7 linked regions of the Danio rerio genome follow. The protein of the gene in region 3 interacts with the protein of the main gene of each other region in a biochemical or structural test. Links are inferred from orthologs where the notes say so. Each region holds a gene or a part of one and is shown on either strand. Other genes may lie near its edges. The genes, in order: itcha, cuedc1b, si:ch211-202a12.4, cdkn2a/b, ep300b, mterf4 and sdc4.

Evidence for each region.
Region 1: of the proteins of si:ch211-202a12.4 (region 3) and itcha, one has a biochemical effect on the other in vitro, tested with the Homo sapiens proteins (7 studies listed by BioGRID, with this or other methods). The link is inferred for Danio rerio from reciprocal best matches to the Homo sapiens genes UBC and ITCH.
Region 2: the proteins of si:ch211-202a12.4 (region 3) and cuedc1b form a complex in vitro, tested with the Homo sapiens proteins (3 studies listed by BioGRID). The link is inferred for Danio rerio from reciprocal best matches to the Homo sapiens genes UBC and CUEDC1.
Region 4: the proteins of si:ch211-202a12.4 (region 3) and cdkn2a/b form a complex in vitro, tested with the Homo sapiens proteins (2 studies listed by BioGRID). The link is inferred for Danio rerio from reciprocal best matches to the Homo sapiens genes UBC and CDKN2A.
Region 5: of the proteins of si:ch211-202a12.4 (region 3) and ep300b, one has a biochemical effect on the other in vitro, tested with the Homo sapiens proteins (2 studies listed by BioGRID). The link is inferred for Danio rerio from reciprocal best matches to the Homo sapiens genes UBC and EP300.
Region 6: the proteins of si:ch211-202a12.4 (region 3) and mterf4 form a complex in vitro, tested with the Homo sapiens proteins (2 studies listed by BioGRID). The link is inferred for Danio rerio from reciprocal best matches to the Homo sapiens genes UBC and MTERF4.
Region 7: the proteins of si:ch211-202a12.4 (region 3) and sdc4 form a complex in vitro, tested with the Homo sapiens proteins (2 studies listed by BioGRID). The link is inferred for Danio rerio from reciprocal best matches to the Homo sapiens genes UBC and SDC4.

Annotation. Positions count from the first base shown.
Region 1 is NC_133181.1:60,243,379-60,247,402, reverse strand, and holds the start of itcha (itchy E3 ubiquitin protein ligase a), read left to right. Parts: upstream 1-1,224; 5' UTR 1,225-1,272; intron 1,273-4,024. UniProt on the Homo sapiens protein: Acts as an Acts as an E3 ubiquitin-protein ligase which accepts ubiquitin from an E2 ubiquitin-conjugating enzyme in the form of a thioester and then directly transfers the ubiquitin to targeted substrates.
Region 2 is NC_133190.1:33,810,655-33,814,154, forward strand, and holds part of cuedc1b (CUE domain-containing protein 1b), read right to left. Parts: intron 3,387-3,500; 5' UTR 3,065-3,386; coding exon 2,768-3,064; intron 1-2,767.
Region 3 is NC_133180.1:42,862,380-42,866,399, reverse strand, and holds the start of si:ch211-202a12.4 (polyubiquitin-C), read right to left. Parts: upstream 2,801-4,020; 5' UTR 2,735-2,800; intron 72-2,734; coding exon 1-71.
Region 4 is NC_133176.1:27,776,115-27,780,222, reverse strand, and holds the start of cdkn2a/b (cyclin-dependent kinase inhibitor 2A), read left to right. Parts: upstream 1-1,308; 5' UTR 1,309-1,570; coding exon 1,571-1,696; intron 1,697-3,354; coding exon 3,355-3,606; 3' UTR 3,607-4,108. UniProt on the Homo sapiens protein: Acts as a negative regulator of the proliferation of normal cells by interacting strongly with CDK4 and CDK6. This inhibits their ability to interact with cyclins D and to phosphorylate the retinoblastoma protein.
Region 5 is NC_133178.1:23,771,861-23,775,360, forward strand, and holds part of ep300b (histone acetyltransferase p300), read right to left. Parts: intron 2,464-3,500; coding exon 2,365-2,463; intron 2,104-2,364; coding exon 2,015-2,103; intron 1,926-2,014; coding exon 1,773-1,925; intron 1-1,772. UniProt on the Homo sapiens protein: Functions as a histone acetyltransferase and regulates transcription via chromatin remodeling. Acetylates all four core histones in nucleosomes. Histone acetylation gives an epigenetic tag for transcriptional activation.
Region 6 is NC_133177.1:47,696,925-47,700,952, reverse strand, and holds the start of mterf4 (transcription termination factor 4, mitochondrial), read right to left. Parts: upstream 2,801-4,028; 5' UTR 2,780-2,800; coding exon of another isoform or gene 2,753-2,779; intron 1-2,752. Other genes in the region: pask (PAS domain-containing serine/threonine-protein kinase), read right to left, coding at 3,478-3,659. UniProt on the Homo sapiens protein: Regulator of mitochondrial ribosome biogenesis and translation. Binds to mitochondrial ribosomal RNAs 16S, 12S and 7S and targets NSUN4 RNA methyltransferase to the mitochondrial large ribosomal subunit (39S).
Region 7 is NC_133181.1:55,445,720-55,449,810, forward strand, and holds the start of sdc4 (syndecan-4), read right to left. Parts: upstream 2,801-4,091; 5' UTR 2,739-2,800; intron 1-2,738. UniProt on the Homo sapiens protein: Cell surface proteoglycan which regulates exosome biogenesis in concert with SDCBP and PDCD6IP.

The sequences.
Region 1 (4,024 bases), on a different chromosome or scaffold from region 3:
AGTGACCGGTTGCAGCTGGAAGGGCATTCACTGCGTAAAACATATGCTGGAAAAGTTAGCAATTCATTCCACTGTGGCAACCCTGGATTAATAAAGGGACTAAGCCGAAAAGAAAAGAAATAGATGAATAAATGAATAAGCACTTGCACAGATAAATAAATAAATAAATAAATAAATAAATACCTTAACACAGTATATTAATATTATTTAGAAATAATGTCATGGTACTAAAACCATGCACAAATAAATATGCAAAAATGCAGTGACAGCTGAGTTCCTAAGTGTTTAATGTTTTTACAAGGACTTGCATAAATAAATAAATCTGTTAAGATACCGCGGTAAAGTTAGTTTGACATTTGACATTCATAAAACATTCGGTTTCAAACCAAATAAATTCTTTGCTCCTGTTATAGTTTAAGCCAAAATATGTCAGCCAGACATAAATATGTGCCCTTTATGTTGCACAAAGCTTAACTTCTTAATTAAAAATAAATTAATTAACCATACGAATAAATTAAACAATTCAACCATATTAAATTATACTATAAAATAAGGACCAACATGTTCAGAAAAAACAACCTGGTTTATTTAATTTATTTTTTAATAATTTAAAAAATACTTTTAATGTAAAAATGATAAAAGTCAATTAAACTATCACACCTTTTGAGATAATAGAATAAAGTCAACTCAAAAAATGACTAAATATTTTATGGTGCACAACCTTTTTGGTTTTTTTACAGTTTTGCCTTTGTTGATTTTATATACAGTAATGAATCCATATTTTCATTAAGTTAAATACACTGTAAACACTTACATGAATTAAACACTATTTGAGACATGAACATTCAAATAGAAACCACAACTATGCCATGTCTATCAAGATCTTTCAGTGAACACCATGGATGATTGTACTACTTTCCCTGTCAAACAGCGCCATCTCGTGAAAGAACAAGCCTATAAATAATCTTAAGAAATCTATTACTGGCTCACCTTGACGTATAGACACACATATCTAGTCTTTCGCTCTTTATATTAGTAAAATACCGCGCAGTGCACACCTTTGTATAAAGAAGCATTGAATAATCCAGATAGACGCGCGCGTCGTCACGTGACGGGGTCGCGCAGATACGTCACTCCGACATGGAGCCTGTGCTGGTGGCGGACCTTTGGTCACCCGGTTGAGATGGAGCAAAGTTTATTAAAACGGCGAAAAGCTGATCTCAGATTCCGTTAAAACTGACATCTAGAAGCATTCCCTGTGATCATAACACGGTAAGATATTAGTGACACACACCTATAGAGGACAGTATGGCTTTAAACCAGCCGTGTTTTGGTAACGCGTTACCGTTAGCTTGTTTGACCGGTGACTGACTACTGGACTCTAGCAGGTGATGTTTTGACAGCTCGTTACTGTACCTTAACTATAGTCTGAAACGATTTACAACGGCCAGTTTTCATTTTCCATTTGATATATGCATGTAGCTTACGTGTAAACATCCGTCTGTTGTTATGCTGAATTTTGTAGCTGCGACACCGACAGTCAGTAACGTTATGTGACGTCACTGCTCTCAAAAGTACTGTAACTGTATGTGTGTTATAACACAACGATGGTATGTACATAAAACTGACCTGTCGTCTTTATCCAAGGCACTGAATGTATATATCACGACATTTACATAGTAACTGTTATGCCATTATAGTTCCATGCAATTGTGTGCACAATTAATGTCTGTTCATGATATAGGCTACCATCTGATGTCATTTCATGGCGCTTTTTAATGTCTTTATACTTTCCAAATTATAAAAAAGTAAGATACAGCAGGTCAACATGGTTACAGAAAGACATTTCTAAAAAGCAGTTTGAATATGAGTTATTTATTTAATCATGCACTAATTTCTGTACATTTCCACACAGTAATCTTTTATTTATTGGTTTAAATAAAATATTGAAATTTAAAAAGATGAATTTTTAGTACAATGTTTAAAGATAGGGCAGCACGATTGCTCTGAGTTTCCTCCAAGTGCTCCGGTTTTCCCCACAAGTCCAAAGACATGCACTATAGGTGAATTGTGTAGGCTGATTTGTCCATTATCTATGTGTGTTAATGAGTGTGTGTGTGTGTTTTCCAGTAATAGGTTGCAGCTGGAACGCCATCCGCTGCATAAAACATGTGCTGGATAAGTTTATTCCGCTGTGGCGGCCCCAGATTAATAAAGAGACTAAGCCGATAGGAAAATAAATGAATGAATGAATGTTTAAAGATATGTATTGTAGCACATTGGACATTTTAATGCACGTTTAAATGCCTATTTAAGAAACTGGAATGTTTCTGACTTAGTGCATGAAAAGCTCACATCCCCTAAAGAAATGTACTTTAAGATTTTGACGGTAGAATAACCTTGGATAAAAGTATCACAGTATCACGGTATTTGATTACTGCCCTAAAATATATTATTTTTAAATGTCTGGGTAAAAAACTAAAACTTGTTTCCCCTTTGAAAACGATATATTTTATTTTCTGAAAGATTTATAATATTTTGAAGCAGTAAACAAGTCAGGCTAAATAATTAAAAGAAATCATTGACTTCTGCTGTTTTAAAAACACAGATTTCTTTACAATTTAAAACGACATCCTTGGACATTTTTTTTTTTGCTGGAGATAGTGTTGTCCTAAAAAAATGTTAGTAAAAATCCTACACATACCTTATGAACAGTATTACAGAAAATGTTGGCGGTTTTAAAACCTTGACTTTTCCAAACCGCAGTATATTTTGAAAACAGTTATCGTCCCATGCCTACTACAGACACAAATATAAATATATATATATATATATATATATATATATATATATATATATATATATATATATATATATATATATATATATATATATATAAAGTGAACACTTAAAAGTATGTTGTCTCTTTAGTAATCTGAAGCAGTCCAAAAATTGATCAGTATATAAAAATCAAGGATTTGCCTGTAGCGTTCAGTCTTAATATATTCAAAACCCCAATAAACAAGTGTTATTCAACGGTTGCAGATTTGTGAAAATCATTTCCTGACAATTGATGAAGTGCTTAAAAATCGTTATAATTCTTTATGTGGTTAACTAACCTCTCTGACAGATTGCTGATATTAGCCGCCACCCTGATTCACTGGCAGGCAGAATTAAACTTGAAAAAGTTAATGATGCATTAGATGAAACTCAAACCTGTTACCATGAATAATAGTTCATTGGTTGATCAATAAACCCCTCAGAATTGTCAGTGTGGAGCTGAAGAAATTAACCAGGCATTAAGACAATGTTTAAACCTTTTAACAGATAATTACTGACAAAAAAAATCTCATATTTGTTTATTGTTTACATATCAAGTTTTTAAGTATAAGACTTGAATAGTCTGCACTCTGCAGGCTGCTGTATGTTTTCATGCTTTTATGCTCTTATTGGAGTTTGACAACAGCAGCACCTATTAAACTTTCATTGTAGTGCAAAGAATGAGAATTATTTATTCCATTTTTTTCCCACAACAGTTGTTGTTTTTTTGGTGAAGATGTTTCTTACAGAGTTAAGGGCTGTTCATATCAAGCATTGCAGCTATAAAGATAATGACAAATCAAATCAAACAACTTTTATTGTCACATCATCAGCAGCATGTGTACTATGATGAGTGAAAAGCTTAGGTGCTGGCTCTGCGTTTCAAAGATTATTTTTAAAAACATACAATCACCCATCCGCTGCATAAAACATGTGCTGGATAAGTTGGCGGTTCATTCCGCTGTGGCGACCCCAGAATAATAATTGGTCTAAGCCGAAAAAAAAATGAATGAATGAATGAATATACAATCATCGGTCACTATTAGGTACACCTTATTAGTGCCTGGTTGGACCCACTTTTGCCTTCAGAACTGCCTCAATCCTTCATGGCAGAAATTCAACAAGGTGCTGGAAATATTCCTCAGTAATTTTGCTCCATATTGACATGATAGCATCACACAGTTGCTGCAGATTTGTCGGCTGC
Region 2 (3,500 bases), on a different chromosome or scaffold from region 3:
TTTCTGACTATGACTCTGCACAGCATCATACATAATGTAATTTTCTTTGCTGATTCAATTGTTCAATGGGATTATTCCTAATTATGTTGAAAAACAAACAAACAGCTGGTTAAGGTTGCAAGTTATAATTAAAAATCAATTTCCTTAAATGGAAATCAATAGAGGCTTTACTTCTGTATTTGACTACTGCGCTCTATTGCCTTGTTTACATTTAACAGTTAGATTTGTTTTAGTCAATTTGGGCTCTATGCACAGCTTGAGTTTTAAAGCCAACGATAAGCTTCTGCTGAAAGCTAAATGTGATTATTTTCAATTTTACAAGGTTGTTTTTGCAGCATCGATGTTGTAATGTAATTATAATACATTCAGTTAAACAGACTTAAGCATTCATTTAGTTGTTTAAGCTTAAAATGAGATGAAAGATCGTTGTAACCACTAACGCGTCAGTAGCAACAGGTTATCGCAGAAATTCCATTGAAAATACTGGGGTAAAATAAACTGTCATATATTAAAGACATGGCAGGGGGAAACGGAACTTAATTCAGTGCTTCTTGTCTGATCTGAGACCCACTTCATATCGTATATCTAACAGGCAGCGAAGATTGCTGATTTTTTAAAGAAATCAGATTTCAAACTTGACAATTTTTTAATAGAAAGACATTTCACTGGAAGCCCTTGGGCTGCCTGGCTGAAAATGAAAAGTCTGTGTGCATGTAGCCCATTGGATCAAGTGAATGAACTCAAAACATTTATAGTCCCCATTTAAACCTTTATCGAGGTTCCCACACCTGGGTTAACCTCAAATTTATGGAACTTTTAAAAACTTTCCAGGTTCAATACCCTTAATGTAGATGCTCAATCTGCCCAGTTGGTGGAATGAACTCCCTAACTGCATCAGAACAGCAGTCACTCGCTACTTTCAAGAAACGACTAAAAACTCAACTATTTAGTCTCCACTACACTTCCTAATCTGTAATTGCCTCTCTGAATATCACACTAACTGTACAAAAAAAAAAAAAAACAAACAAAAAAAAAACTAATACTACTAATACTTCCCTTCTTAGACTTTACAGACCTGAAACTTGCTTATAGCACTTATTCATTGTTGCTCTTGGTTGTGTAAATTGCTTCCTTGTCCTCATTTGTAAGTCGCTTTGGATAAAAGCGTCTGCTAAATGACTAAATGTAAATGTAAATGTAATGTGGGGACACATTTCAAGTGAAAGCAAGGTTACATTTAAGAAAAATATCTTGAAATTTGCGTTTAAGACATTATAATTTTCAGTTTGTCTATGTTGTTTTGTGCTTGCGAATGAACATCATGGTAACATACAACACAAAGTACATTTAAAGGTGCTGTATGTACGGTTTTGACTCTTCTAGAGCATAAAAATACCATATTATGTTTGCAGATATTTAAGAAACATTAAGTGACACTTGTTTATCTGAAAAACAATGCTGAAGTCAGTTATTTTGCTTTAAAAAAATGTGCGTAACATGCCGGAAGGTCTGCCTTTGTTTTTTTTTTTTTTAACCTGCCCACTGCCACATTAGCCAATTATATTTCAACACCCCGGGTTGCCTTGTTGGTAAACAATGTATTTTTTTCATTCATTCATTCATTCATTCATTCATTCATTCAGAAAGGCTTTCAAAGCATGCGTCAGAGACCGAAATGCGAACTCTGGTGGATGGCAACAGCCCTAAAATGAGATTCCACATGATATTAGCAAATAATATAAATATTACGAACGTAAACATTAGGTGAGCAGGTTACATTGAAACCGCGTGTCCTAACAACATGCTACATGATGAAATACGCAGTGATAAGCAATTTGGCTGTTTGCACCAGACAAAATACGACAGAAATGTAAATACAGCCATTCAGAAGCACAGAATATGCACTTACTCGTGGTAAGGTTTATAATCTAATTAATACATATTAACCCTCTTTAACATTAATGAATGTACATGCTGAATCACTGATATGCATTGGTTTGCATTATTTCACAGTTCTAAAGTTTAATTTCAAATAGGTTATTTTATTTTTCAAGACCTGAGGTGAATTATCTGCTGCTGTTTTCAGTAGCTTGGCAATAAACGTAATTTAAAATAGGATTCAAACTCACATTATTAGCATTTAACACTGAATAAAGCACATGAGGTGTACCTGAGGTGATCATTGTAAAATTTTTCTGTTGTTGTTGCAAGAAATAGAAGCCGTTTCTTACATAACAATTCAAGGTGTTCGTAAGAACAAAAACTACTGTATACATGGTCTATTGGGTGCCGTTGCTTTTATATAGAACACGATTGTAATCAGAATTTAGACTTCGCTCCTGTTGGACCTCAGTCTGGCAACCTGCGCTTGCGTTTGTTTTGATCCAGGAATGCATTACCTAGTTCAATCACTGGGTGTCAAACTTACATACTGCACCTTTAACATAATGTGTAAATGCTCATAACTACTGTAAATTAAGCAAGCTAGTATGCGCAGGCCACAAAGTGTTGGCGAAATAACCCATTAGCAAACTGAAGAGAATAATATGATTTTTTTCAATCTTCCACAAAATAATTGTAAGCACTTTAAAGGGCCACCATCTATGCATATTTATTTTCTAGGACTTCTGAGCATTTTGTTCCCTAGACTCACAAACTCATTGACCCTTGGAAATCCTGCACTTTCTTTTGTGACTGAATCAACAAAACTCATCTTAATAGCGAGTCTAAACAAAACCTATAAGCACTTTCAAAAAAAAGCACTGACCTCTGGCGGGATGCTGTCATCTGAATCTGAGCTGTCATCTGAGCCTTGCCCGTCAATGCTCATCTGCAGGAGCTGGTCGATGGTGGCGTCCACAGCACCATTATTGGAGCGCAGTACACACTCGATCACCTCATAGTCCATGGTAGGAAACATGGTTTTGAAGTCCTCCATAGCCTGGTTGAACTCCAGCCGTCGAACCTGCCGGTTGGGCCTAGAGTTGTTGAGCTCGCCTGCAGCCGAGCCCCCGCCACCCCGAGACCCTCCATTACTGTTGCTGCGTCGGAAAAGACTGGTCATCCTGCAGGAGCCCCGTTTTCCTTCCAGACCGACCACGCCACAAGGGAAACGATGGTGTCTGATGTCTCCCACAAAACTTCTCTGTGTGTTTCTCTCACGTGTTTCTTTGGTTTGTGGAAGTATGCAAGTTCACTTTTTCATCATACTATAAAGAATCTAGTCCACTGGAGCGAGAGAAATCCTTTCCTTCTCTTCTTCTGCTTGTTAAGCTGCATCCAACACGACAGCACGGAGTCACCGGCACGAGGGAAGTAGACGGTCTGGTCTTGAGCGCTTTAGCTTTGTGTCCCACTGCGTGATCTCCCCATTAGCTCTGCTCAAACTGAAAACAAATACAGAAATGAGCAGTTAACAAGATGAGGTCGGAAACCATACAGTTCATTATGAAAACCTTTGGCTGACAAGCATCAGCCGTTTAATGGTCTGAACTCAAGCT
Region 3 (4,020 bases):
TCAATGGTGTCACTTGGCTCGACCTCAAGGGTGATGGTCTTACCAGTAAGGGTCTTGACAAAGATCTGCATCTGTAAACAAATTATCAAAAGAAGATTAGCAATGACTAAAATTTGTACAGATTTATACGACTGATCTAAGATTTTACCTTAAATCTTCAAAAAGAAATCTTTTTGGAACACCACATGTTAGAGTTGTCGCGATACCATTAATTCACGTTATAATACTATACCAGCTGAAGTATCACGATACCATATAGTAATGCCATACTGTAATTCATAACTCAAATTATAAGGAAAATTGTCATAAATACTATATTTTATATGTTATAATAGGTCTACTTGAGTTTCATTAAATGAATGATGATTAAATGAATTTAATTTCAATTAAAGAAATAAGTATTATTTGCACACTATTTCACCTAAAATTTATTTATACTTTGTTTATTTTGTAGATAACTGATCAACAAAAAATACATTAGAATAAAGATACAAATAAACAAAATGGAATTTGTTACGAAAAGAGCATTTTTAAAAAAAAAATTATGAAAGTGATGAAAAATATAAGTGGTCAAAAGTTGTTCAAATATTACTATTTTGGGTTTTTCCATTTATTTTTTTATTTTTTCAGCCTTATCAGGGAACAATCCAAAGTAATTAAAAATATTTTTTTAAGACATTAAGTTGTTTTTAAGAGATTGCTGCGGTTGCTGTAGCTATTAAATCACATTGCCAGAAACAGAATGAACCGCTTCAGGTGTGCGTTTGAAATGTTAAAAAACATGCAACCTTAAGGGGCTCCACAGACTATTCAAATAAAATGGTCTATTGATGCACATATGTGTGAGCATTAATCACTTTCACAAGCAACACTACATAATATAGATAGACCGGTAATGAAGATACTACCGTTTACAAACTACAGTGGCACTGCCAGTATTTTGAAGCCACAGTATCGTGATGCTACCATAGTACCGGTAAACCGTGCAACCCTCCTACCACATATAGTATCTGTCAATCTGAGAGCATAGGCTTAATTCAGGGCAGGGCTAATGTGTTAGCACATCTATTACAATACAGAATGATTTTAGCTCATCCTTTCACAAACACAAGTTCTAAATCTTTCTCTGACCCCCACTAAATGTTTTATTAATCTGACGATAATTTAAAACTTCTCACTTTGAGACTTCCATGACGATGCATCAAGTTTATCATGTGACATTGCAGCCCTGAAGATTTATGTATATAATTTTCTCACTTATTTTGTCATTTTATGCAAACATTGGTTAACATCCTAAATATATTAGAAAATATCATATTCTGATAAATGAATATTATGATACAAACGCATCCATTTCCATTTCACAGATTAATAATGATCATGGGTGCCACCATGTTAGTGGAGGGATGCTGGATTTACAACATGTTAATTTATCAAATTACATGAAAGTGCCTGTTTAACTGGAAGAATAGAGTAAATGTTAGTTACCCTAACAGTTTGAACAAGGACATTGTCACATTGTGACAAATTATTATTAGCATATTAGCAAATTATTAAAATCTTTATTTTATGCCAATATCAATCCAGATGCTTCAAGCTTAAGTTTTTCTATAGAGCACAACCCTGTAGGGGTGATTTCCTCTTACCTGAGACAATAACTTAAGGGTGTCTCCTAGGTAATAGAAATCATTACGTGGACATGCATGCCTTGTAAAAGCTACTCTACATTAACCCAGAATCAGCTTTACAGAAAATAGTTAAAATTGAAACGGGGGTTATATCTATCTATCTATCTATCTATCTATCTATCTATCTATCTATCTATATCTGTGCACTCAAAATTCCGCAAATTTAAGTCCATGATTAATTCTATTTATTTACTAGAGTAAATGTGGGTAAATCTATATTTATTTACTTTTTAATAACAGTAATATTATTGACTTGTATGAAAATGTTCATCTGATTTATATACGATGCAGTTTGTACAGTGATTCTTTGTCTTTTAGTAGATACATTATATTAGACTTGCTTTGTTTACCAAATAAAGTGAATCTAATTGGATTTGCATTTTAAACATTAAATGAAAGTTTAAAAGATATTATTTTTAAATTCATATATTAAGGTTTTAGTTATGATACTCCCAAAATAATTCCGCAGAAATCCGCAGATTTTTAGCAAAATTCTACGCAAAAATAGCAAAAAACGCCCGCAGATTCCGTCTGGTCCTACATATTAAAAATGTTTGTTTTTTAGAAATATAATAAAAGTTGAGTTATGAACTTGTAATTTCATTCATACACTATATCGAAATAGTTATTTATGTTAACATTACCTCCTAAATTACATAAAACAATAAGTTACATAATTAAAAAATTGCACAATGTCATCATTTAAAAACGGTAATGCGCAACAACAAACATGGCCGCTGTACAGTAATATCCGGGTTCTTTGTTCATACAGCGCCATGACTCAGCATAATTTAATCTGACAAACTGCGACATTGAACAATTTAACAATTAAAAAGCAAACGTATCAATTTGGGAAAATAACATCGTATGAGTATTACTCTAGTCAAAGCATTAAGGACTGTAAAATTACTTCTTTACATTTAGTTAGGATGTCGAGGATATGAGCGCCAAAATCAATACAATAAACAGGAATGACGAAATATCAATAATAGTATACCTAAAGGTCTTTATGAAGGTTCTAAATCGAACTGGAATAGCTTTCTTACCTTATAAATATCGCTGAAACTGCTTCTGAAAGTGAATAAGTTCTTCTCTTCTTCGCAGAAAAATCAGCCGATGAAGCGAGTGAAACTGTTTTTATACAAACCCAACAGCGTGACGTTCTCATGTCACGTGAGCGGGTCTTTTAGTAGTCAAAACCTTTTTTTCGTTTGAAAAATTAAAATAAATGTTAAAACTATGGAATTATTTGATTTTTTAAAAATAAATACAAGTTATGTATCAATATTTGAAACGTATAATTTAATCATAAATTACCCATAAAGGAAGTTTCCACAATGTGCTGGAATGGGCTGGACTTGTAGGACAACCTGCAGGCAGTGATTGGCTGGTTTAGTGTTTGTTCGCTTTGCTATTGGTGATTCAGACAAGACCAGGCAAAGAGAAGAACTGACATACTGTATAAACAAAAATAGAACAGTCTGGAAAGATACATCGTATTACAGGACCAGAGATTATACAGCATTATAAAATATGAATTATAGTTAGTTGCGTGGGTTCCAGTGGATGTTTTGGTTGCTTAAAAGAAACTGATTGTGTATGGTAATAATGAACCCTGATATTAACTTCAGGGTACAGCTGAGTAAAGTGAGCAGGCAGAAGAATGGGAGAACAAAAAAAAAAACATTTATAAGGATACATTTGCGTGGAAAACAGAGCAAACAATAAAAATGTGATAATTGCAAGATTATACATTGGTCATACAGCGCAAAAAAGTTTGTGTAAAAAATTAAACAAGTTACTGTCATAAAAATGCTTAATAACAAATTACATAATTCAAGAGAGAATAAATAGAATTATTCTGAAAAATAACTGAAAGAAATCTGAGTAAAGTGTTAATCACACATTAGAATTACCACATTAAAGAGATCATTAAGGTGTCATCTGGATTGTTGAATGTCTCCGGACTGGAAAATTAGGTTTAAAAGTGGTTACAGTTTTTTAAGCCCCCAACCAAGTTTCATACTCCAGTCCTATAGGTGGCAGAAATGCACTTTCTCAACCACCAACAAAAAAAAATACATGATGGATTCCAATCTGAAGGGCTCATTCCTATGCCCTAATCCCTTCAGAGGGTTCCTCTAAAGAGATTAGCGCATAGGGATGAGTCCTTTCGAATTGAGTGTAGTGTGGAAAACCACACAGCTTTCCTGCTCAAAAGATAATTTCCCACCAAAGTATAATTAAATGATAATTGACACCAAGCAGCTTCCCTGCTCAAAGGATAATTTCCCAAAATGTTCATCGGTTTTATTTTTCAAACTCATTTATT
Region 4 (4,108 bases), on a different chromosome or scaffold from region 3:
GTTTTTTATTTTATTTTATTTTTTTATGATATTTTATGTATATTTTTGATCCAAAATAAATAAATCAAATCAAAACTTCTTTTTTCCCCCTTTTAATGTAGGAATTTCAACTGTGGTATTAAATATTAAAATGCTCATGCCTATTTACTGGAGTTGTGAAGTAAACTTTGTGCAGGATATCTTTTAGTTACATAGTTCAACTATTCTATTTCTACATGTTGTTTAATATCTATTCAACAAAACTAAGTAAAATAATTCATTTTTAATCGTTGCTTCTATGACATTTAAATTAAATTTTCTATTATTAACACTTAGCCAGTGGGGCTTTGCCAACTATTTTTTTTCTTTAATATTGTACTGCGTTGGTTTGTTATGATTATTTTATTTACTATTTCATATTTTAGTATCTATTTTGCATGCACATTAACCAATATTATTAACATGTTAACAACATCAAAACATGAATAAGTTAGAAAATTAAATACAAAAGCACACTGTTCTTCATTTTAAACAGGTGCATCTCAGAATGTGATTTTTACTTTATGTAAATGATCTACACAGCCACAGGACCCTTTATCTTTTTACTTATTTTCAACGTATTAGAGAGGCAACAAACTCACTGCTAAAATTAAAAACTATTTGCTACAATTGTTTAATACCTTGTTTCTGGATACAGGCTATAGTTTAGCTACAGTCGTGTGATGGGGAAATAGCATTACAAAACTGTAAGTCAGACGATGTTTGGGCAAAATTATGGCCATTCGCGTCCTTTCTATCGTGCAGAAAATAGATTTATGTTCATCTACAATCAAAAACAGAACAACCATTATGAAAAAAATATAAATATAGGCTACCACGAATGTATGTATATGCTTTTTTGTTATAATTTATGTGGATCAAAAATATAGTTTAACTTAAGCGCCCCACACAGCATAATGGCTAAATAATATACTTTAAAGTAGCCAAGTCAAACTTAATCTCTACAGGCCTAGCTAACATCGCGTCTTAATCAAAATCCATAAAATAACTTTACTCTTGAAAAACGAGAGATTTTTCCTGGTAACGTTAGCCTATTCCCGAAGAGTAACTTCTCCATGGCACAAAACCCAATTATGTTAGCATAATTAGCGTTGTGATATGCTTATGTACCCGAAAAAAAGAATAAAAAAACTTCTTGTGATCTAAAAGCAGGCTAATGCCAGTTACATTAGCCATAAAACATTAGCAGAACCTAATTTCTGTTTCTCTGCAGCCTCTCCTACTGTGTCGTAAACTCATGTCTTCCTGACTCAGCTGTTGTGCGCAGGCGCAGTATGACAGTACTGCACCACGGTTTTGCTGTGACGTTTATGACAGAGACAAGTCCGAACAAATATCTCGCTACGAAAAATTATTTTAAGACACAACACTTTGATAAACGAGTCAGTTTCGCTTATTTACGCATTATATTGGAACATGTTATTCATGGAGACCGATAAAAATAAATTACAGCGTTGAACTGATTGTTTTCGCAGTATCATCATCATTTGGTTTTACCTGTGAAGCGAATTAATTTCGAAAATCAATAAAGATGATGAACGTCGAGGATGAACTGACCACAGCAGCAGCCACCGGAAACATTTCCCATGTTCAGTTTTTACTTTCTAACGGAGTGAATGCCAATGTGGTTAACAAATTTAGAAGAACGCCTATACAGGTAGGTTTAGACGCGCTTTAAGAATAAACAACGGAAATAAACAAATGCAAATAAATAAATAAGATTAATTGCAGATATGTAACATTAAATTAGTAACATACAATTCAAAGACTTATTTTGTATTAAAGGTCATATTATTTAACAAATTTAGGCTATTTCATATTTTCACACCTGTTTGACTATATGGGATTTACTTTTCTTTTTTTTTTTTAAATATTAGGCTATTTGTGTATTTATTTTACTCATTTTAGCATGTTTAAGAACCTTTTAGGCTACTTAAACGGCCTGAAACATGTTTACCAATAGCGTGTTATCAACCTATATAATACTAACAACACTTTCTATCTTTTAGTAATGTCATTAATTTTAACATTATAATTTTAACTTATAGCTACATTCTTAGAAATTAGTCCGAAATAAGACAAGGAGTTTTGGATGTATTGTCAAAGTTCAAATTATTCAAAGAAAACTAAAATCTTATTGAAAACGAAAGTCCCAATGTACTATAACTGTGTATAAAAACCAAATGTTTACAATTATATATAAGAGATAGATAGATAGATTTATATACATAACAATAAATAAATAAGACATTTTATAGATCTTAATTTCAGATAAATTTTAAACTATTAAATCATATCTCTATGTGCGAGAAGAATGGCACACTACTTGCTAATTCACTCCCGAAAGCTTTGTTGGCATCGATGGTTTTAAGAAGAACCTTTTGCATCTATGGAGAAAATTTTTGAAAAATGTGCCTTTAAACTATTAAAATGTTTATTTCATTTTTTGACAATAAAAATACTTCTTTTGGAAGCTTTGTAATAGGTTTTCTGTGCGGAACCAGAAGGGCATCACTGCGAAAACCCTTTTCCTCTTATTGCCATGCTTGTTTTTACGAATGTACGTTTAATATTTTGACATTTGTACAGTTGGCCTATATTGACCAAAATAATCAGCCACCACTAGCACAGTCATAGACTAATGGAGTATATATTTTAGACCATACTTATTTTTGCTTGTTTTTATAATCGTGTAGGCCTATTATTATAATATTTGGTGTGAAAGTTTTCATCTAATTTTCACAATGTCCAATGGTTTTACGGTTCATGCTCTCGGTTACGGGACATCAAAAGCCGAAGAGGTAGCCTACAATAAAGTGCGTATAGATATCTTTTAGCACACTTTAAACAGATGGACAGCATACATCCAGAAATCGTAAAAGATTAGGCAATTGTAAAACTTCTGACGAGCATGAATTGCCTCAGAAAAATGTCAATTAAACGAAAGATGTTTAAGAAAATCACAAATGTGAACAAAGCATATTTATGGCATACATTTTATTTAAAATGATTATAGGAATCTTCATAATTAATCATATGAAAAATAAGAATTAGCTACAACACAATTTGTTGCATTTAATTGATTTACTGCCCGTGAATAATTTATTGATAGGCTAAAAGAGTAATGCATCATGCACAGCAATGTTCAGTGCCAGCATGTGCACTGCTTTCGTTCCTATTTAACCAAAAAGTATCTACTTTCCAGATTTCGAGTGATGGCAGTAAAATTATTGATTAAACAAACTTCTTTACAGTGACATCATGACGTTACTGGCGTTTATTTTTTCATGAGACAGCAATTTTCCCCCTCTCCAGGTGATGATGATGGGTAACGCACCTTTGGCTCTTGTGCTGCTGGAACAGGGAGCGGACCCTAATGTGCCTGACCCCGACACAGGGAGCACACCTCTGCACGACGCTGCCAGAACCGGATTCATTGACACCGTGCGGCTTTTAATCCGCTTCGGCGCCGACCCCAATACAAAAGATCACTGCGATTTACGACCAGTGGATGTGGCACAACAGACTGGCAACGTAGACGTGGTTGAATTACTCAATCGTGTTTAAAATGTTTAAAGACTGCATCACTGCATAGCCTAGGCTACTTTAGGTGGTAACCTTATTAATGCACTCAAGTACTTATAATTCTCAATAGCACATGGTCATTCATGTAGTTTGGAGATTCTAATCATTTAAAATTTTATTTCTGTATCTTTTAAGTTTATTTATTATTATTATTTATTATTAGCTAGTCAATGGGAACTTCAATAAAAGGCTACAGACACAAACCATCATACGCTCATGCTAGCCTATAGTTCGCATAATAAAAAGTGTAGACAGCATTATGTCCAAAGATAAATAAATAATTAAATAACATATCCACCTATTTGTTTTTAACCTGAAAAGCATGGCGACAAACATTGAATCAAATGGCTTGCAACGCAAGGACATCCAATATTTTTGGCGAGCTCTTTCTTTTTTCATTTCTTCCGGTTAAACATGCTTTTATTAAGTTTATAATATTGTACGACTAATAAAAATGAAACTTTCTATTTATACCAAGGCATAA
Region 5 (3,500 bases), on a different chromosome or scaffold from region 3:
CAGTATAATGTTTTGTTATCAAGTGCTATAGTTTTATTAAAATGTGGCTGCTGAGCACTGCCAATAAGCTTATGGTGCAAGTTTGTCATTTCCAATGGAGTCGTGTGACTTGCACGTCGTGCATATGGGAGCAACGCACACATGTTGTGCAAGCGGCACACACCTACGCACAATTTCCAGGCGCATATAGTTGAAAATATCACAACTATTCCGAATGCCGCAAGCGTACCACGACTCATGTAAGTAGAACTAACTAATCTGCTTCACACTTATAGAATATATTCACATATTTTCATATTACACACATCTCGATAATAACGGCAGACTAATTACCTCAGACAATCAGAGCGCATCCAAACACTGATGTGCTTTTTACTTTTCTCCATAAACTTGTATCGAAACTGCAGCAATGGTTTGTCTATTTGTCATCCTCTGAGAAAACGGTTAATGCCTTAATGTTAGGGGAGAGCAAGCGCAAATCGCATAGAAAATGGTGAGGGACACCATGCGCTCACACTTGTCACTTCACGTCAGAATAACAACACACACAAAAATGAGTGTCGTGACTAGCAGCAGTTAGAAGATTGTAAATAAAAAAGGATGTAAGTATTGCTAGAGTGGCTTTTTGGTTTCTTTTCTTGTGGTTCCCAGCCACTAGCTCCCCATCTGAAAGATTTTTTTTTAGCTTAGGGGGTAATATAGTCATTGAACTCCACTATTTGTAATGTTGCAGTGTGTATTTGAATAATAATGGCTGGGTCCTTTACTTAAAAAGCTCAGATTTGATTATGATAATTTGTGTTGTTAACAAGAGTTTGAGGTTTACTGTATCATTACTATTCACACCTCAAAGTTTGCTTCGATTCTTCAGCGTTTACACTTTATCATTGCACACACTTTGTAACATTTTATTTATCAAGTTTAGGTGTCTCTTTAACACTTATGTTTTTTTTTATTATGAAGAGATGAGATGTTTTGTTTAAATACTTTTGTTTTTATCTAATAAAACGATGTGCCTTAGTAATATTGGTAAATTAGAATAAAGTGGTTAAAAAAATCTTAATATACCTAAATTAATTGTAAAAAAAAAAAAAATTCAAAAATTTTATGATACCGAATGATATGAAACACTATATTGTGATACTTTTTTTTGCAGTATCACCCAGCCCTATTTATACATCTAAATAAATTTGAACAAACTTGTCAGTGAAGAACCAGTTAAAATATGCTTTTATTGTTACTAGACTTTATTTTACTTTCACAGTCTTTAAGGTTTGCATTACATTTACTTTATATACAGCATGTGATCTAATCAGAACTGATCATTGGTTGGTTTAAACTATCACTGAAAACACAGAAATGGCAAATATTATAAACTATAAGCTATTGGCTGATACGATGTCTTGTTAATGTTTTAAAGTACAATATTACTAACTTAAACATTAGGAATACATCAGAATGATTTTTCATCATAAAATGTAAATGATGGTAAACATCACTTACACACTTACTTCTTAACATTAAATTCTATGAATGTTTAATAATAAACCTATGTCTAATAATGAATCTAAAGAGATTTAAATTTAAATTTGAGTGAGGCTTACATTTCAATAAATAAAGGTTGTTTTTTAAAAACTGTTTATGCTATTGTCTTTCACGAGAGTTCAGAAGAGAAACACTCTTATCAGCACCACTACACACTATCATACAGAAATATTAGAGACATCACATTGTTCTGAGTAACAAGATATGAATGTGGTTTAATAGCTGACCTGCGGCATGGCTCCCTGCCCTGCAGGTTGATTCAGGCCAACCGCACCCTGTCCCAATCCAGCACCCGTTCCTGTAAACTGGTTCTGCATGTACTGGTTTTGTAACTGGGGTACATTGGGCTGAGCCATTCGAGGTGTTCCCTGCATGCTCATCTAAATACAGACAATAAAGATGCCAAATAAATGCTTCAATCAGGTACATTTACATCAGTCGCCGACCTTTGGGTGGCAAGTGAAATTACCTGATTGAGGTTTGCACCCATTGGCAGGGGAGGCGTGGCCCTCTGTCCCATTGGTTGCTGCATCCCCACCTGGCCAAATTGATTCATACCTGGATGAAAGCAATTACAAAGTTTAAAACATAAGTCAAAAACAAAACTATGACTTTTATATATATGAAGAGTTCATATAAAAACAGATAAATCAACAGTTATATATGAGTTTTTTTTGCAAATGTACTCTTTAACACTCAAGGTGAAAATATGATTTCTTTTTTGGCAATTGTACAAAACATGATGTCTAAAAATGGACTAATCTGTCTTTGCACATAAACCCTTCATATATATGTAGCAATAGTGCATCAACTACAGACCATTTAGTGAGTGTGGCATACCAGCAGGATTCTGCATGCGATTGACCATCTGACTGGGACCAGTGGCTTGAACTAAAGACGGATCTGAATGAGGACCATCTAGGAAAGACCAGAAGATCCTTTATAATCACTCCACATGATCAATAACAAACAACAGCCTCAAGTTTAACTGTGATTTAACTATACTGGAAATAAAAGCTAGCATTGTATTATTTTATGCAACATAAGAGAGTTTATTAAATGGAATGTACAGCTATATTTGGAAATTATACATGTGTGGGTGGAGTAATTTGTTGAGATGTTTAAATGTATTTACATTGTGTCAAAATTTAGGTATCCACAGTTGGGTTTACTTTTTGAAAGAATAGATTCAAACATCTTTCTGTGAATGTGAAAGGAACAGAGTTCAAACATTTCTTTCCTGTTTCTATTTCATAATTTAAGGTAACACTTCAGTTTAAATACCAATCGCTACTGTTAACTGCTGGCTTATCATTAAGATAGTGGCTGTTTATTAGCACTTATAAAGTATGATCTTATTCTACATCCCTAATCCTACCCAAACACAGCTACTACCTTACTAATGATCAAGAATCGGTAATTATAAGTAGTTGTTTAGTAGTTAACTAGTTGTTTATTTAGATAAAAGTTTTGATTAATTGCTTATTAAGAGCAGAAATAGTGTCTTTCCATAACGTGTGACCCAATTTAGTATAAAATCCTAATGGTTATGCTTTTTATTAACACTTGAATTAATTGTTGAAATGCAAATGTTTTAAAAACTACAAACGTATAAAAATTTATAATGCAACCATTAGAACAATTTTGTTTTTAGCAAACTTCTTACATGGATAGATCTCTAAATAAAAATAATACTTATTTTTTAAATAATTAAATTAAATTCTGCATGAAAAGGAAACTGTGAATGTGTTTTCTTCCCTAAACTGGTGCACAGCCAAGTGAAGCATGGGGGGCGGGGTTATTTTGATTAAATCTGATTGTATTTCAGAGCAATACATCAAGCTTTAAATTTGACTGCGGGCCGACAAATGGATATATGCAGATGTGTACGTGCACGAACTGGGCGGCTGTGCCCGATTCATGCCAGCTGGTGCTTAAGGTAGAGCACTGTTGGG
Region 6 (4,028 bases), on a different chromosome or scaffold from region 3:
ACTTCATCGAGTAGTTGTGAAGACACACCATTGATATTTTGGCGGTGTGCTTTGGGTCATTGTCCTGCTGGAAGATGAACCGTCACCCCAGTCTGAGGTTAAGAGCACTCTGAAGCAGGTTTTCATTCAGGATGTCTCTGTACATTGCTGCATTCATCTTTCCCTCTATCCTGACTAGTCTTCCAGTTCCTGTTGCTGAAAAACATCCCCACAGCATGATGCTGTGACCGCCATGCTTCACTGTAGGGATGGTATTAGCCTGGTGATGAGCGGTGCCTGGTTTTTTCCAAATGCAACGCCTGGCATTTAATCCACAGCGTTTAATTTTAGTCTCAACAGACCAGAGAATTTAATTTTTTATGGTCTGAGAGTCCTTCAAATGCAAATTCCAGGTGGGGGGTGGCTTCCATCTGGCCACTCTATCATATATGCCTGATTGGTGAATTGCTGCACAGATGGTTGTCCTTCTGTGAGTTTCTCCTCTCTCCATAGAAGAACACTGGAGCTCAGACAGAGTGACCATTGGGTTATTGATCACCTCCCTGACCAAGGCCCTTCTCCCCCGATCACTCAGCTTTAGATGGCCGCCCAGCTCTAGAAAGAGTCCTGGTGGTTCCAAATATCTTCCACTTACGGAGAAGCCACTGTGGAGGCCACTGTGCTCAATGGAACTTTTAGAGCAGCAGAAATTTTTCTGTAACCTTTCCCAGCCTTGTGCCGAGACAATCCTATCTCGGAGGTCTACAGACAATTCCTTTGTCTTCATGCTTGATTTGTGCTTTGACATGCACTGTCAACCCTGGGACCTTATTTAGACAGGTGTATGCCTTTTCAAATCATGTCCAATCAACTGAATTTACCACAGGTGAACTCCAATTAAGCTGCTGAAACATCTCAAGAATGATTCGTGGAAACAGAATATACCTGAGCTCAATTCAGAGCTTCACAGCAAAGGCTGTGAATGCTAATGTACATATGATTTTTCAGGGTTTTTTTTTTTTATAAATTTGCAACAATTTCAAAAAAATCTTTTTTATTCCACATTGTCATTATAGAGTATTGTGTGTAGAATCTTGAGGAAATCTATTTTGGAATAAGGTTGTAACATAAACAAATGTGGAAAAAGTGAAGTGCTATGAATACTTTCAGGATGCACTGTATTAAAGCTGTAGGTTCAATTGGGCTGAGGACAAAGACAGGGTTTGTACATATGTGTAGTTTTTTTTTTTTTTTGCCGCTTCTGTAAAGGGGATTTATTTTAGTGTGTGTATCCAGTCTATATGTTGATAGCAGGAAGTAACTTAAAAAACACAGCTGATTTGTGTGCGATTTGACTTTTAAAATAGTTACTGATATTTTGTGGCATGATGAAGGCCTCAGTCTTTAGTAAGTATATAACTATATCACATATAAAACACACATATCACGTAGGAGCAATTCCAGCGTTATTATGGATGCGATATTTGCAGTAAAAACTCAAATCATGAATTCACAAAGTATAGGTTAACGTTAATGTTATATTGAAGCAACTGTTTATATTTTCCAAAACAACAAACCACAGAGTTATGGAATGAAAAAAATATCAATCTGCATTAATTTTTTATTTTTTATATGAGGAAAATAATCATGTCATATGGATGTCAAAAAAGTTTGCCAGTTTACAGTATACAACATACTTTTTAGAAATTCTTTGAATTAATCTGCACATCTCAAAAGAAATTATGCTAATCAAAAGATGTTTGCCCTCTATAAAATATATATATTTGAGGCGTTTGAGGGAAAAGTTATGAATGTGACATCATTATGGATGTGACACTTTTACGTTATGGATGTGACCGATATGAAATTGGCACTTGTATGACCATAGTTAATGAAATATAATTGTTTGAAAACACGGAAAGAGACATTTTGAGCTTTTTTCAAAGTACTTGCATAGAAACGGTTTCTCTATTTTGTTGAAAACATTTTTTATCATGGCAAGTTTGACATTTGCATGGAATGGCTCGTATACAACAATATCAGAACAATATTCGTACAACAAAACAACATTATTCTGAACTATAGCTACTTAACGTTGCCAAATATCTTTTTTTTTTACTAAATTTGATTGTGTTTTAAGAGTTTTTAAAGATACCTTAAGTATTTAGATTTAAAATAACATACAAGTGAGTATTTTAATGCCATTACATGACCCTAAATGATTTTATTTTTCCGTATAGAGCCCACTGCAAACGACTGAATGGCGCTTAGTGGCGTCTTCTGAAATTCGTGCTGAAAATGTATGATAGTGTTTAACGTTATTTCCTACTCAGATAAAACACTAAAACACGACACAAACTACATGTCGTGTATAATTGATTAATTTTAGAGGCTATGGACGATTTTAGCTTCAGTAGGGCAAAATGTTTTTGTAAATATTAGCTACACATGTGTTTGATCAAGTTTGAATGAAGGTCACATTGTACATCAAAACAATGAGACAACTTTAAAAATTAATTAAACGTAATGACATTTGTATTTGTTTTGCCAATAACCAAGAGCCCTTAAAATAAAAGTTAACGCCATTTCTCCAACTCGATTTATCGCAAATAAATGCAACCCCGGTTCCAGTCAGTGAACGACAGACAAAAAATCCGCGTCTAACCAACATAAACGCGATATATTAATGACAAATTCTGCAATTGAAGGTCCAAATTTAGCGTTCAAGAATCTTAATAGATGTAAAACATTTATTTTATCCCTTACACTGTACCTGTTTTATGCATACATGTGAACCCATAGCTGTGCTGCGTCAAAACACGACCGACCCCGCAACAACAGCCAGAGCTCAAAAGTTCCGGATGCTTGAATGACCAGAAATAAAGACCAGAGTAATTATTAAAGTTTTTATTGAAGAATTTCACTGACATCAACATATAATAGAGGCTTTACAAAGCCTGTGCGCATTCTGAAATAAAACCAGCATCATTAACAGATGAAACGATCTAAAAATACGCCAATAATGATTAATTTATAGCATAAATACTGAAATGTTATAAAAATAATTAAAATATTCTTAATTTAAAAGTTTAAAAATCAACCTAAAATTATTTTAAAGCTCTGAAGGCCTAATAACAAATGTCTAAAGCTCGAGTGAGTATCATCCTTCAGGTCTAGTGCGCCTGCTGCATGTTTTAACTGGACAATCCTTCAGCTCGACTCCGCAACATTACAACCAAGAGCACAACTCTGAGTGAAAAACACAAGACGTTTGATAAATACACTCCTGTTCCTTCACCAAACATGGAGATGAAGCAGTTTCTTAGCAACACAGATGGCTTTCATTCCCAGTGCCACTTTTGCTTTGCTCTTTGGCCGGCCTGGAATCATCAGCAGCAGCTGGACGGACAGATTCTGCATTAGTGCTCATGGTGACATTAGATGTAAAGTAGTAATTAGCTGAGCTGAACGCATTAGTGTCTCTTTCACAACAGTGGCTCACTCGTCGGTGAGATATTTCAACAGCTCAGACTGAAGCGCCGCCATGGTTCTCCTCTGCTCCTCGTCGTCTTCATCATCATCATCATCTTCTCCTATTGGTGTGTCTTCTAGCGAGCTCAGATTGTTTTCAGAGTTTGTGTAGAGGACTTCTGCTCGGTGCACACATGATGACTTGGAATCTTAGACAGAAATAAGTATGATTAGTCCTATTTTTTTTTTTTTTAGAAAATGTGCATAGCATGATCAAACATTTTAAGACCAAGCCATGAAATTATCATGAACAATATGAAAGGAACACAGTTCCTATATTATTTAAGTGTGACCCTGGACTCATAATCCAGTCTTGTTTTACATGGGTATATTTAGGCAAAATCCAAAAACACATTGATTAAATGATCAATTTGTCTTCATGCTAAAAATCATTAGACTATTACATAAATATCATGTTGGTGAATATATTTAGCAAGTTTCCTACTGTGGATATATCAAAAATCTATTTTTAATTAGTTATGTGAATTGCTAAGTACTTCATTTAATCAAAATTTAGA
Region 7 (4,091 bases), on a different chromosome or scaffold from region 3:
ATTTTAACCATCTTTTAACATGTATGTCCTGACCTAGGCTACTTACAAAATAATAAATATTAAAAATTATCATGTTTTAGCTTTCATGTTTCTAACATGTTTAACATTTTCTAGAATGTTTTAAAATGTTTTAGCAAGATGCTAGCAAGCAGTTTTCATTTTTTTAGCAATACCGCCATGATTTAGCATGCTAATAGCATTTTGCTAGCATGTTTTTACACATATCTAACATGTAAATAGCATTGCTAGCATATTTGTGTTTTAGCACATTGGTTTTCATTCTTCCAGCTTTTAACATGTTTAGTGTTTTAATCCAATCATGTTTGAGCAAGCTGCTAACATGTCGTTTGCATGTTTTATAATCCAGCTAGTTAATTTTAATGTTGACTAGCCTGATACTCAAATGTTTTATCTCATTGGTAGCACACTAACTTCATGTTTTATCATGTTTTGCTTTCATATTTCTAGCATGTTTAACATTTTCTCGAATGTTATAAAATGTTTTAGCAAGTTGCTAGCAAGCAGTTTTCATTTTTTGAACAATACTGCCATGTTTTAGCAAGCTAAAAGCATTTTGCTAACGTGTTTTTACACATATTTAACATGTAACTAGCATAGCATGTTTGTGTTTTAGCATATTGGTTTACATTCTTACAGCTTTTAACATGTTCAATGTTTTAAACCATTCCTAACATGTTTGAGCAAGCTGCTAACATGTAACTTAAATGTTTTAGAATCCAGCTAGTTAATTTTAATTTTGACTAGCCTGATACCCAAATGTTTTATCTCTTTGGTAGAACACTGATTTAATTTTGTATCATGCTTTGCTAGCATGTTTCTAACATGTTTTACATTTTCTAGAATGTTTTAAAATGTTTTAGCCAGTTGCTAGCACGCAGTTTTCATTTTTTTAGCAATACCACCAAGTTTTAGCATGCTATTAGCATTTTGCTAGCATGCTTTTACACATATCTAACATGTAAATAGCATTGCTAGCATGTTTGTGTTTTAGCACGTTGGTTTACATTCTTACAACTTTTACATGTTCAATGTTTTAAATCATTCATAACATGTTTGAGCAAGCTGCTGACATGTAACTTAAATGTTTTAGAATCCAGCTAGTTAATTTTAATGTTCACAAGCCTGATACCCAAATGTTTTATCTCTTTGGTAGTGAGATAAAACATTTAACATTTAAAACAGATTTAATGTTTTATCATGTTTTGCTAGCATGTTTCTAACATGTTTTACATTTTATAGAATGTTTTAAAATGCTTTAGCAAGTTGTAAGCAAGCAGTATTCATTTTTTTGAGCAATACCGCCATGTTTTAGCAAGCTAATAGCATTTTGCTAGCATTTTTTTACACATATCTAACATCCCTGCTGAAAAAAAACAGCTTAAACCAGCCTACGCTGGTTAGCCAGTTTTAGCTGGTCATCTCCCAGCCTGACAGGCTAATACCAGGCTGGAAATGGCTGAAAACCAGCCTGCAATGGCCAAAACCCCACTTAAACCAGCACAGTTGACCAACTAAAACCAGCCAACTTGCCTAGGCTGGTTTAAGCAAATTTTTCAGCAGGGATGTAACTATGCTAGCATGTTTGTGTTTTAACACATTGCTTTTCATTCTTACAGCTTTTAACATGTTTAATGGTTTATAACATGTTTGAGCGAGCTGTTAACATGGTTTGCATGTTTTAGAATCCAGCTAGTCAATTTTAATGTTAATACCCTGATACTAAAATGTTTTATCGTATTGCTAGCATGATAGCTCACTGATTTCATGTTTCATCATGTTTCTAACATACATATTCCTAGAATGTTTTAAAATGTATTAGCAAGTTGCTAGCAAGCAGTTTTCATTTTTTAAGCCGAAAAGTTTTAGCATGCTAATAGCATTTCGCTAGCATGTTTTTACACATATCTAGCTTGTAAATAGCATGTAGCACGTTAAGCTTAACATATTGTTATTTTTAACTTGGCTATTGGCTCTTCTTTCTAGTTTTTGTGATAGAAATGAATTTGAATAGTCTTGACTTTATACATTCAGTCTTTAGCCTATGTTTTTGCTTAATTTTTTCAAATATTATGCAAATTTTTGACAAAACTAAGTCTGATAACTTAATATATGTTACTGGTTAAAATATATGCTATATGCTTTATGAATTATTTTTCATATTTATTAAAACATGACAGATTTCTTATTATCAGTTTTCGTTGTAAGGCACTTCGGAAACACACACACACACACACACACACACACACACACACACACACACACACACACACACACACACTTTTTTCTGTCTCAGCAACAGATCGAGATCAAGATTTACATTTTTTTATTAATCTAAGTTAGTCTTTCGAGTGTAGGCCTTGACGAAAACCACATTTATGACCACGAGATCAAGACTCCAACCCTGCAGTCTAAAAATAAGAAAACTCAATTGGTGCATGCAGTGTTCAGCAGATGCTGTGGCTTGTGGGATCTTTTGGTCGCTTACAAATTTCTTGTTTTTAGTGAGATCTCTATTAAAACCATTTAAATGTATTTTCTGTCAAACATGCTAAAGGCTAACAAAACCAGCATTAAAACAATCAAGCTGATTAACAGAATGATTTATACTAAAATGTTTCTTTATAAAAAAACTTTGTGGGCTCCAGTGACTTATTGCTTCATTAAATATTACTAAAAGAGAACAACATAAGTTTTAATAATATATCTATACAGCTTACCAGTGTAAATCATCAGCAGAACATCAGAATGTGGAGGGAAAGTGAATGGAGCTGCGTTCCCCTCTAGTGGCCGTCGATGCACCATAAACATTAACTCACAAAATTACGTCATTTTTTGGAGGATTGCACAACAATGCAATTTCTTGTGCAATAGTGGACTGGCAGGTCCGATTTCATTCCAGTTTATTGGTGACTAAGAACAAGTCTTTTGTTTTAAGGAGAAATCTCGTATGTATACTTATTTGGCTTCAATAGAAATCCTGTTTCCATTCCATATAATTGTAACACACCCTTGTTTTATTAACTCATTTCTATTTATTCAATAACTTTAAATGCATATTAGCATATTAGCCATTGGTAAAGATCTAATAATGCACAAAATGTACAATAAGGTCTCTGATTTGATTTGTTTACAAACACTAACAATACATGTACTGTATTTAATAATCTTAGTTCAGCATGGACTAACGCATTATTAAAATCCAAAGTTGTGTTAACATTAAATAATGCACTGAGTTGTAATGTAATGTGTATTTATAAAGCGCAATTATTGTGTATGGCCATACACCCAAAGCGCTTCACAATCATAAGGGGGGTCTCTCCACACCACCACCAGTGTGCAGCATCCGCTTGGATGATGCGACGGCAGCCACAGGACAACGGCGCCAGTGCGCTCACCACACATCAGTTGTGTGGAGTGGAGAGACAGTGATAGAGCCAATTCGGTGGATGGGGATAATTGGGAGGCCATGATCATAAGGGTTGATAGAGGGACTTTGGCCAGAACACCAGGGTTACACCCCTGCTGTTTCACGAGAAGTGCCATGGGATTTTTAATGACCACAGAGAGTCAGAACCTCGGTTTAACGTCTCATCCGAAGGACGGCGCCCACTGACAGTTTAGTGTCCCCTTTACTTTTTACTGGGGGATTGGGACTCACACAGACCACAGGTTAAGCGCCCTCTGCTGGCCTCCCTAACACTACTTCCAACAGCAACCTAGTGTTCCCTAGTGGTCTCCCATCCAGGTACTGACCAGGCTCAGCCCTGCTTAGCTTCAGTGAGTCACCGGTCTTGGGCTGCAGGGTGATATGGAGTTAATATAAACAACTTTATTTTCATTACCTAACATTAACAAAGATGAATAAATACTGTAATAAATGTTGTTAGTAAATATATTAGCATTAAATATAAAAAAATGTTTGAAGAGTTACCATATTAATAATAACATCATAAACTGCATATTTGAATAACAAATGCCACAACTATTTATATCTTCTCAATCTTAGGAACACTCACCAGCCACTTTATTAGGTACACCTCACTAGTACTGGATTGGTCCCCTTTTTGCCT